Linked DNA regions of Elephas maximus indicus. The protein of the gene in region 2 purifies or fractionates together with the protein of the main gene of each other region. This does not show direct contact. Links are inferred from orthologs where the notes say so. Each region holds a gene or a part of one and is shown on either strand. Other genes may lie near its edges.

The links.
Region 1: the proteins of TNFAIP3 (region 2) and TNFRSF1A purify together in Homo sapiens (affinity purification with western blotting; 7 studies listed by BioGRID, with this or other methods). This does not show direct contact. The link is inferred for Elephas maximus indicus from reciprocal best matches to the Homo sapiens genes TNFAIP3 and TNFRSF1A.
Region 3: the proteins of TNFAIP3 (region 2) and RNF11 purify together in Homo sapiens (affinity purification with western blotting; 3 studies listed by BioGRID and IntAct, with this or other methods). This does not show direct contact. The link is inferred for Elephas maximus indicus from reciprocal best matches to the Homo sapiens genes TNFAIP3 and RNF11.

Annotation. Positions count from the first base shown.
Region 1 is NC_064822.1:63,140,995-63,144,741, forward strand, and holds the start of TNFRSF1A (tumor necrosis factor receptor superfamily member 1A), read right to left. Parts: upstream 2,820-3,747; 5' UTR 2,574-2,819; coding exon 2,535-2,573; intron 1-2,534.
Region 2 is NC_064819.1:207,627,673-207,631,419, forward strand, and holds the start of TNFAIP3 (tumor necrosis factor alpha-induced protein 3), read left to right. Parts: upstream 1-1,620; 5' UTR 1,621-1,868; intron 1,869-3,747. UniProt on the Homo sapiens protein: Ubiquitin-editing enzyme that contains both ubiquitin ligase and deubiquitinase activities.
Region 3 is NC_064821.1:94,257,863-94,261,609, reverse strand, and holds the start of RNF11 (RING finger protein 11), read right to left. Parts: upstream 2,764-3,747; 5' UTR 2,689-2,763; coding exon 2,566-2,688; intron 1-2,565. UniProt on the Homo sapiens protein: Essential component of a ubiquitin-editing protein complex, comprising also TNFAIP3, ITCH and TAX1BP1, that ensures the transient nature of inflammatory signaling pathways. Promotes the association of TNFAIP3 to RIPK1 after TNF stimulation.

The DNA.
Region 1 (3,747 bases), on a different chromosome or scaffold from region 2:
CACTGAGTAATTACCAATAATACTAATAATATAAAAGCTAACGTTAAAAAAAAAAGAAGAGCTAAAGTTTATTGAGTGCTTTCTATTTTCTACACCCTAGTGGGCATTTTTTTTTTTAGTGGGCATTAGGGTCGATATGAGTTGGAATCAACTCGACAGCAACAGGTTTCATTTGGTCTTAGTGGGCGCTGGAAGCCCTGGTGACAGTGGTTAAAGAGCTCGGCTGCTAACCAAAAGGTGACCGGTTAAAACCTACCAGCTACTCTACGGGAGAAAGATGTGGCAGCCTTGGAAATCCTGTGGGGCAGATTACTCTGTCCTGTGGGGTCACTATGAGTCAGAATTGACTCAGTGGTAATGGGTTTGGTTTTCTGGTTTAGTGGACTTTGGTGGTCCAGCGGTAGAATTCTCACCTTCCATGTGGAAGACCTGGGTTTGATTTCCAGCCAATGTACCTCATCTGCAGCCAGCACCCCAACTCACAGCAATCAACTAGATGGCAGCTACAAAAACAACAGTCCTCTACTAAACTCCATGAGGGCAGAAATTCTGTTCACTGCTGTAACCCCAGCGCCTAAAACAGTGCCTAATGAAGACTGACAACAACCAGTTGTCAATTCCAACTCATGGAAGCCCCACATGTATCGGAGTAGAACTGTCCTTCATAAGGTTTTCAATGGCTGGTTTTTCAGAAGTAAATCACCAGGCCTTCCTTCTGAAGTGCCTCTGGGTGAACTCAAACCTCCAGTTGGCAGCCCAGCACATTAAGCGCTTGTACCACCCAGGCACTTAATAAATCAATGAGTACTTAACATACATTATTCCATTTAATCTTGAAAACAACGTTGTGAGGTAATGACTATTATGTCCATTTTACAGACAAACAAACTAAGAGGTTAAGTAACTTGCTCAGCTATTACATGGTACAGCCAGGATTCAAACCCAGGTGATCCACCCCAAAGAGAGAACAGAAGATGTCAGGGCTGTAAACTGGGGGAAGATCATGGAGGCAGGACACCCATGAAAGAAAGGAAGAGAAGATGGGAGTAGGGAGACAGGAGGTGAGCGAATGAGAAGAACAGTGAGACCATGATAGAGAGAGGTGCTTGGGGTACCCAGGGTCTAGAAACATGGCACTAGAGCAGAGAAGTGGGGCAGCAAGAAAGAATAAGAGAAAAAAAGGTCTCAAAAAGGAGACTCTGAGAAGGGGAGAGTGATAGAAAAGGGAGGAATGATTGGGAGAGAGAGTATAAGATGCCAACGACAGGGGAGATGGTGGGAGCAAGAGGTGGGCCAGGGAAGGGCAGGGGCCCAGGAGAAAGAGAAGACCTGGTCAGCACAGGCAGGGATAATCTATCCAACTAGATGGGGAATCTGGGGGCTCAGGGCATTTGGAAAAGATGAGTCAAGGACAAGGAGCGAAGATCAAGGATACACTGAAACAAGGTGGAGGGAAGAGAAAGGGACATTTTCCAGTGACCAGTGACGAAAACAACTTTCTACCAACTTCCGCAAACTGAGCTGAAAAAGGAGAAACCAAAGGATTGTTGTTTAGTTCTACAGGGAGGGGGCTGGGAGGACAGGGGCAGGGATACTGGGTGGAGGTGGTACTAGTTACTTGTGGGGAGGTGGAGGTGTTATTCCAACAGAGGCTACCCTGCCTGGGAGCTGAGCCACAGGCAGAAGGGCCACAAATGCCCCAAGTGGGAGGCCTGGGAGGGCACTGGGGCGCTCTCTACTTAGATGTCCTTCCCCCTTACAGTTTCCCACTCGACTCCCAAAGACTCCCCCACTATGTAGCCTCCCAAACCTACCCCACAATTCACCCTCTCCTGGACTCAGCTTCCCGGCTTCACTAGCCATCCAACTCCAGCCCTCTAACAGGGTTTGCTCAACCAGGTTCCATAGGCAGCCTCCCTCGCCATAGCCTAACACAGGCCCGGCTAGCCAGCTAACCAAACCAAAAACCTAACCCATTGCGTTCCGGTGGATTTCTACTAACAGCGACCCTGTAAGATAGAGTAGAACTGCCCCACAGGGTTTCCAAGGCTGTAAATCTTTAGGAAGCTGACTGCCCTCCCGCTAAGAGGCTGTTGTATTCAAACCGCCAACCTTTCGGTTCGCAGTCGAGCGCTTTAACCACTGCGACACCAGGGCTCCTTGCCAACTGACCAGAGGGACAGAATCCTGAATCTTCTGGACTGAGAGGACGGGTCTTCCTTCTCCCACTCTGTCCTTCCCCCGCCAAATCTACTGCATCCTTGGCCTATCACCTGCCGCACATTCCCGGACGCCCCCTGGCCCCACCAAACTTCCTTGGCTATCAGGGGCCAGGGCTCCCTTTTACTCTTTCCCTTTCAAACTTCTCCATTTCCCTCAAATAATCGGCCTTGTCGGCTCCCTCTCTGCACTGGCATAAGAATGGGGAAACGTGAACCGTGTTTGGGTTGAGCAGGCCCGAGGCTGGGGCCAGCCGGGATCTCGCCCCCTTCTGCCCCGCCCCAGCCCACTCCATTCTGGATCCCTGGTCTCACCAATGGCGGCAGCAGGCCAGGGACGGTGGGGAGGCCCATGTCCGGCCAGGGTGGCCTCTCACTCCCCCATCAGGGCTCAGGGCAGTGGCGGCGGTCTCCTGGGGTCCGCGGGGTCCCGAGTTCCCTGGTGGAGCCTAGGCCTTGGGGCGCGGGACTTCGAAAGTTGAGGCGCGAGTAGAGATCCCGTCCTCGTCCAGGGACCTCGGACTCCGAAGGCCTGAGTCGGAAGAGCTCCGAGAAAACTAGAAAGGAGAGAAGAGGTGGGAGGGGACGGGAGTGTGGCTGTGTTGCAACATCCGCGGGACAGGAAGAGCCAAGGGAGGAGGCGGGGGAGGGGGGGGTTAAAGGTTCTTAACCGTTTGTAGTCCAGTCAGAGAGCTTGGAGTTCCAGATCCAGTCGCCTTGTGCCCCCAGCCCGCCAGTTTTACACTCCCAGCTGGTCACCAAGGTGCAGTAAGCTCCCTCCCTCCCCACCCCCAGCTGGCCTTCCCTAAATGGAACAGCAACGGAAAGACCCGGGCTTTGGAGTCAAATTCAATGGGTTCCAGTACAGAATTCTCCACTTCCCCCCGCCCCCATAGCTACATAACTATAGTTTAAACTTTTTTTTTTTTAATATTTTTATTTTGGTGAAAGTATACAAAGCCAAAGATACACTATTTCAACAATTTTTACATGTACAACTCAGTGATATTGTTTATATTCTTCCAGATTGGTCACTTTTTAGCTCTGTGGTCTTGGAACATAACCTAACCTCTCTGAGCCTGTTTCCCAACTAGTAAAATGGAGATAACCTCTCTCATAGGGTCGCTGTAAGGATTTATTAAGAAAGGACAAAAAAAGTACCTGACACTTGGTAAGTGCTCAGAGTTCCTTAGGAACCCTCCCCTTTTACCCAGAATTCCCCCTGACACCTTCCCACTTGCTCAGGAATTAACCCCTCCAACACAAACCTCAGAGTAAGTCCTACCTCTAGGTTTATGGTCTGCCTGGGGCCCTGACGCCCCCATTCTGGCCAGGTCCCCAACTGCTGGTCCTGGCTCTGCCACCAGCCAAAAGTGTGACCTCAGGCAGGACCTCCACTGAGCCTCATCTCCTCCTCATTTATTAAATGGGGTAACAATGGCTGGCCTATCTGAGGATTAATGAGACTAAAACTGCAAACAGAGTAACGGAAAATGGGCTAGGGCACTGAAACAAAGCCATTCCCCAG
Region 2 (3,747 bases):
CCAGCCTTGGGACTGTGACCATTACTGACTCTCTGCTTTAAGTCTCCTTTTGCCCAAAAAGTGCCACCTACCAGCCAACTCTTGTTCTGGCCTCTGCAAATCTATACCGGGGAGAGGAAATACTTTTCTAATTCAAAACTTGAGATACGTGGCTTGACAAGCATATTTAAGTACAGTCAAAAGGCTAATGGTAAAGAATATTTCAATCTGACCCTAACTTGGCTATTTTAGGAAGGAGGCCTATCGGGCACCTGTGCTTTGAGGGCCCCAAATCCCACTGCCATGGAATAGATTCTGACCCATAGCGACCCTATAAGACAAAGTAGAGCTGCCCCATAGGGTAACCAAGGCTGTAATCTTCCTCCCGGAAAGCGACTGGCTGGTGAACTCAAACCGCTAACTTTCGGTTCTTACAGGGCATCAAGGTATAAGCGCCCTAACGTCCCTCCCTGCACAATTTACGCACCTCCATCGCTCAGGTGGCTGACATCTTTACGTGAAAAAATGCAGTTACCACGCAAATAGCACATGGGGGGAATAACAAGGTATCTTGGGGCGATCTAATTATCACGACTTCTAAAGAAGACACACCTAATGAGGCCTTAGGAGGGCATGGCAAGGTCAGTAATGGACTAGAATCGATTTCTCGACGGAATGTGATGCCACCCAGGCGCTTGACGTGCAGAAATGGAGAAGGGGAAACCGCGCAAGTGCCGGGGTAGGGGCCGGATTGTTCTGAGTCCTAATTTTATCCAAGACTGGCCTTGTCATGGGATACTCAAGGCCACAGGGCCGCAGGCAGGGACAGATTACCCAAAAACAAAGTACGCAAGGGCTTACTTGTGCTTATTTACCAATCCTTGGTGCACAATTTCAGCTGCTTTTCACCATATTAAAGACGTGGTGAAACCCATGTGAAATTGTGCACCAGGGCTCACGACGTAAACACAAGTAAACCCCTGCGCACCTTGCTTCCTGGTTAATCCGCGGCAGGGAATGTCGCCTCAGGCCCGCATTCCACCCAGCCTGGGGTCGAGGTAGACAGGAAGGCTGTGGAGGGACCCAGGGCGGGTACTTCTTGTCTCCAAGCTCCGCTGCGGCCAGGTCTTGGGCTCTCCCCTAGTGCTCCCCACGTGCGCAGCCCAAGCCTCTCTACCCCCCGGCTGCGCAGCTTGCGGTCCCGGGCGCCAGGGTGGTTTTCAGGGTTTTCTTCCTCTATGATTTCCCTTCTTCTTCTCCACAACTGATGATTTTCTGCAGAAAATCTGAGAAAAAGAACCTACTTCATTTCCAGTTCCCATCACCGCGATTTCCACATGGATGTGACGTTGGGCCGAGCTTCCGAAATGCCCAGGTGACTCACGCGGGGACACCCCGGGGCGGGGCGCAGGAGTTTCTCCGCGCGGCCGGCCGGCGGGGCGGGGCGGGGCGGGGCGGGGCGGGGCGGGGCGGCCGGGAGGGCGGTCGGCGGGCCGGGCTGCGGCCGCGCGCTCGCCTCCTGCGCCCTCTGGCGGCGGGCGACTCTTCGGCCGCGAGTTCCCGGCGCCGGGCCTGGCGTCACGTGACTGGAAAGTCCCCGGGTGGAAATCCCCCGACTATCCGCAAGCCTAAAACAGAAAGGGAAAAGAGAACTGCGCAGTCTGCAGCCTGCGCTGTGGGCCAAGTGCATCCGAGCTCGCGGGGGCGGAGCGTCGGGAGCCGCCGCCGGGAGATCTGCGGCAGCTGGCAAGATCCACACCCCCAGCCTGCCGGCCAGCGAGCGAGCGAGTCTCAGTCAGCCGTCCATGGGGTGCTGCTTCGCCCTGGCCTCAACGCGCTTGCCCTAACTGGGACTTGGGACTTGGAAGAGGATCGCACTCCAGGGAGAGGTAACCGTCGCGGCACGAGCTCATCTGGGGCAAGGGCTATGGGTGCGTCTTTGGCAGCGACTGTCGAGCTTGCTGCATCTGCTTGGCATTGGTTTTGCAGTGGTTCTGGAGGGAAGTTTGTTGGCCGTTTGTGCCCATTCTAGGTGTTGAAATGCTAGGACTTGAGGTCGCCGAGCCAGATGTTGGGGTGACAGCCCTGGATCCCCCATCCAGCTGATCCTTTGCAGTAATGCAGAGAACTTGAGCTGCAGCTGACTGCTGAAGTCAGCTTTGTTAGATGGGTCATTGGTGCTTTGCTCCTTTTTCTGTCTTTTTTGGAATTAAGCGTTGCATGCTCTTGGCCACGTAGACCTTGCAGAACCACTGTGACGTCTGCCGAGATTATGCAGAACCAGCCCAACGGAGGTGGCAGGTCGCAGGGGCAACAAAACTCAGCCTGTGTGGGGGGCTTCGGTGAGCTAACCTTTCCAGGGACAGCTTCCAGACAGTGTTCTGTGCAGGAGAGGTGGGGAGGATGGGTTCTTCTCTGAAAGTTGCAGCAGTGTAAGAAGTACGCTGGAAGAAGTGGGTTGCCCGTCTGTCTTTTGGGGGCCCCAGTTTAGAAGCCATCTGCAGGCCCCCCGCACCAGTCACTACCCCACAGTCAGACTGTCACTCAGCCCAGGTCGCCCCACATCCTGCCACCTGGGCTCTCAGGAAAGCAGTGGTATTAAGTAAGGAAGGAGCTCAGCTCATTTTGAGACCACTTTGTTTTCAGTTCTCCCTGCCTCTGATCTTCCTTGGAAAGCTGGTCTGGTCAAGTGTCTCTGGGCAGCATTTGGGAGAATTGTTATTAATTGATTAAAGAGCCTGCTGGACTGCAACTCTAAATGCCCCTGATTATTGAGCAGCACAGTTAGTGCACCATTCTTACTGTCTAAGGTGCTTCTTTAGGTTTTGCAGTTCTTTCTGCAATGTTTGAATTTTTTGACAGGTACTTTCCAAAAATCTGATGAGATGTTTGCTGATAAATAATTCATAAATTTCCACACTGCAGACAAAAATGTCTGCCTAGAGTGGAAAAATAAAACCAGGGGGAGAAGACTTTGAGCAATAATAAGTTCTGTAGAATCTCATTGCCTGTAGTGACAAAAATTGGGAAATTATCTTCAAATAAGTCCAAGTGAGGTCACACAAATGTTAAAAAAAAAAAAAGGGTAATGTTGTATTCCTTTGACCTATAAGGATATTACAATCATATGACAGATACTTATATTTATGTGTCTTGCGACAGTTGACAGCTCTCGCTATTTTAGATGTTGGCTGAAGGATCTTTAGGTTCAGAAAAGCAAAATCGAAGAGTCAGAAAAGCACAAAGAGGCAATACCTAGCTTGTTTAAAATCTTACTACTTACTGCTTGCCTGTTTCCATGGAGAGTAGCAGGCACTGTAGCCACAGGTGTGGTGGCATCGGACAAGCAAGAGGCAAATATTGGAAGACTTAGACGCTAGGCAAGGCTCTGCACTGGGTAGCTGTAGGACCTTGAGCAGCGGGTCCCTCTGCTTCTGTACCTTAGCTGCAGACTAAGGTAGTTGTATGATTTCAAAGAGGGGAATAAGGTCGTATTTGATTTTTGGCCCTTGCATCAAGCGCAGTGCTGCCTTCAGTAGGTACTCACGTAGGATTTGTTAAATGTATGGATGAATGAATGACATTGTGAAAGAAACTTTTGACATGCTGCAAGGAGAATGTGTGTGTGGTATTTTTGTCCCTTGATTGCACCCTGCAATTATTCTGCCCAGCTCACGTGCAGGGGATTGCTTACATGAAAGGAGAGGTCACCATCTGACCAAGAGATTGACTCGTCCCAGGCTCCACTTGACAATCAGATGAAAAATC
Region 3 (3,747 bases), on a different chromosome or scaffold from region 2:
TTCTTTATAATCAGCTATTCTTTACTAAAAAAAAAAAAAATCCCATTGCAGCTAACAATTTCTTAAAAAATAAGCCTATATTCCTGTAGCTGTTAATTATATACTAATTCTTTTACAAAAATACATTACTTAGATCCAATGAAAACATTATAAATCATTTACCAAAAATATTTTATTTGGTGTTTCTTAGATCATGTAAATTAACCATTCCTAAGAAATATTATTTCCTTCGGGGGACATTTTTTGCACAAGTTTCTCTTTTTACGCTCCCACCTTTTAAAGTAATTATTTTCTTCCAAATGATACTAAATTTGCATATCATTCACTTCAGGAAAGGGTAACCACAAGAAAATACCCACTGTCAGAAATAACATGTTTCAAAAACTGTTCCTTTGTGATACCAAAAAACCATCATTATCATCTAGTCCTTCTGGTTAGGGCAAATACTATATTATTTCCATAAATTCTAAAGAAATACTCCTTAATACCGTAATTACCATAAGGATAGGAGAGAGGGCAACAAGTCAAGACATTCAACTTGCCTGGAAACAGGCTAGAGAACACAAAAGGGGGAACTCTGAAATAAAAGTTCACATCTCTAAAAAACTGTCTCTCCTGAAATGGAAATGAATTACATATATATATATGCACACACAAACATATATATGGGGGGGTGACAAAGGCAAGTATAAACACAGGTTACTTGCTTCACTCAAAAGATATTTGTTCGGAAAGACGTCCAGATGTGGCCTGCATTTTTAAAAGATTACCACTGTGACAATTCTTTGGGGAAATGGGTGTGTAAATGTAGAAAACATGATACTGAATTTAAATTCATTAATTCATTCAACATTTAAGTGCTTCTTATGTGGCAGAAAATGTGCAAAATATTGGAGTCACAGTTCCTGTTCTCAAGGGGTATATTCATTTATCCCAGTTACTGAATACTATGTGCCAGACGCTGCGGATTCAGCAGCAAACAGGAAGACACACGGTCTACCTTCATGCAGCTTATACTGGGGGAGGAGGGAACTCCTCAAGGATGTGACATTCATCTAACTAAACAAGAACATTCACTAAAATGTTACAGGTAGTGCTTACAGATGCGCACAAGGGGACACAAATGAGAGTGATGGATTCAGGGATAGAGGTAGGGGAATATCAGGAAAAGCTTCAGATATGTGGACCTAACAACTGAGTTCTCAAAGGGAATCAGATGTTCACCTGGCAGACCTTGGGGGGGGGGCGGGGGTAGAGAGGTGTGAACAGCCTGGTGTACTTGGCAGGCCTGGAATACAGAATGTGAGAGATAAGTCATGGGGGAATCTGTATGCCACAATAAGACTGGGCTTGATTGATAGATATGAAAGGTCTCTGAAGGGTTTTACTCAGAAAACCAGCATATGTGATCAGGTTTTTCTTGTGTGATGAGACACAAGTTTACACAGGAATGAAAAAAGAACACTAGATAATGATGTCACCACATGAAACAACAAAGGAGACCGCCCAGTTAGAAAAACTAAACTCCCTTCAGGAAAAAACTAAGGACTAAATATTCAAGCCCTTCTGGGAAAAAAGTTTTTATTCAACATCATTTAAAATTGGAAACGCAGAAGAAAAGGGGTGTATATGTATGATGGATTATTAACATCTGCATATTCTATTTTGAGTTTCCTGTTTTAGTTTCTTATTAACTCTGTAAACACATCTGGGCCTGCAGGTTGCTGTACAAAACGCAATGAAACCTATTTAGGAGAAAGCCTTTGATACAGAGAGAATCACAACTAACAGAAGGTATTTCCCAAGTCAGGTTTAAAGGTTTCCAAAGTTCTGAAGCTAATCAAGTTTTATTAAGTCAGCACATTTTATAAGGTGTGTCATAGGGGTGGAGCAAAAGTGAGGTGGGGTTAAAAAAAAATCAACAAATATATACATACATATAAACAAGTAACTCAATGTCGCTGGGACTAAAATCACCAGTTGGAGATCCTCTCCCAAGTAGAGGGAGAAATGAACACCCACCAGATCCAATTAACACAGACAGAAGGAGGGGTGGGGGTAGGAGGGGGGAGGGGAAGATGATCACACATGAAAATACAAATGGAGTTGGTGGGAGGTAACCACTTACTTATCCAGAACCCATAATCCAGCTGGCGGTACGATGAGGAAATTACCCCCAACCCCACAACTCCGACTTTTGGATTCAGACATAAAGGCAGGAAAATAATGTCACTCCAAAACTTCACAAACTAATCACCAGACTCTTGCCAAAGGGATATGACCGCAAACTCGCTCCCAGAACGCAAGGACAGAGAGCACCACCCCTACACGGTGCCAGAGGGGAGGTGAAGGATCACCCCTATTCTGGGAGTGGAGGGCAATCACCCTTAAGACTCAGCCCCAGAATAGCAAACAGCCCCAACCAGGCCTAGCCGGGGCTAGGGGCAGTGATGGTCCTGAAGCCCCCTCAAATCTCGGCCAGACCTGCCTGATCCTCGCCCCCCGCCCCTCCCCCCCCCTCCCCCCCTCCCCCCCCCGCTTTCTCGAACACACAACCTCCCCTACCTGATATGGCGGCGGCGGCTCCTGATCCGGCTCCGTCCCCTCACCAAAGCTAGCCCGGTCGGACTGAGACTCGTGAAGCAGGGAGATGTCATCCGAGGTGGGGGATTTGAGACAGTTCCCCATCTTCCGGGGCTGGGGTGTGTAATCTGGGGGAGGAAGAAAGGAGTGGCGGGGCCGTCTGCACGCTCCGCGGTCAGCCTCGGTCGGCGAGGTGGGGTCGGGCGGCAGGCCGGAGCTCAGGCGGCAGCGGCTCCCCCGCCCCCCGGCGCCGCCGAGGGGCCGCTCATGCCAGCCCCCGGGGGTGGGGGCTCAAGCCTGGGCCGCGGGCTCCACTGGGGTCGCGACGGTTGCCTCCTGCCAGGCGGTGTTGGGGGGGGCGGGGAGACGGGGCACTTCCCCACCCCGCCCCCCCGCGGGGCGGCGGCGGCCACGGAGCTGCTGGGCCTAATCCAGGTCAGGAGGGGGGGGCGCGGCCGTCACGGCTGCCTCAGCTGCTGCCTCAGCTGCTGCTGTCCCCGCCGACGCCGAAGCCCCGACCGCGGGCCTCATCCTACTCCGCCTCAGCGCGGCGGCGGCGGCGGCCAGAACAAGGCCGGCCTGGGCCCTGCGTCATCCCGCTGTGCGTGCCCTGGTCCCGCCCTCGGCGCCGGGAGGCCTGGGCGGCTCCCGCGGCGCGTTGACCAACCTCCTCTTCCCCGCTAGCAGCTGTTCCTGGGGCTGCGTCAGTTTCTGCTTATTTTTGTGACAGTTTGGCTCGGTACCTGACTTCGAAGCCTCTCCAGCCTCTCGCTCCTCTCCACTCCGTGCTTCCGCCCGGTTTGTCTCAGCTGAGCTCCGCCGTGTGCACTATTCCGATAATCTCAACACCCTCAGCTGCCAAGTGATCTATTTATAAACGCATATCTAAATGGATCATTCCCTTGGTTAAAATGTAAATGGCCTCCCTTTATCCTTTCAGAATAAAGTGCAAGCTTATTAATGAACTCTCCCTACCTCTCCAATCACTTTCCTTATTCTCCAACATCACAGCCAAAGAGATTGTTCCAGCTGTTTATCTCAGATTGCTCCATTTCTTTTTATTCCCACCGCTATTTTTTATAGTCCAAGTCCGGAAACCCTGGTGGCGTAGTGGTTAAGTGCTACAGCTGTTAACCAAGAGGTTGGCAGTTCAAATCCGCCAGG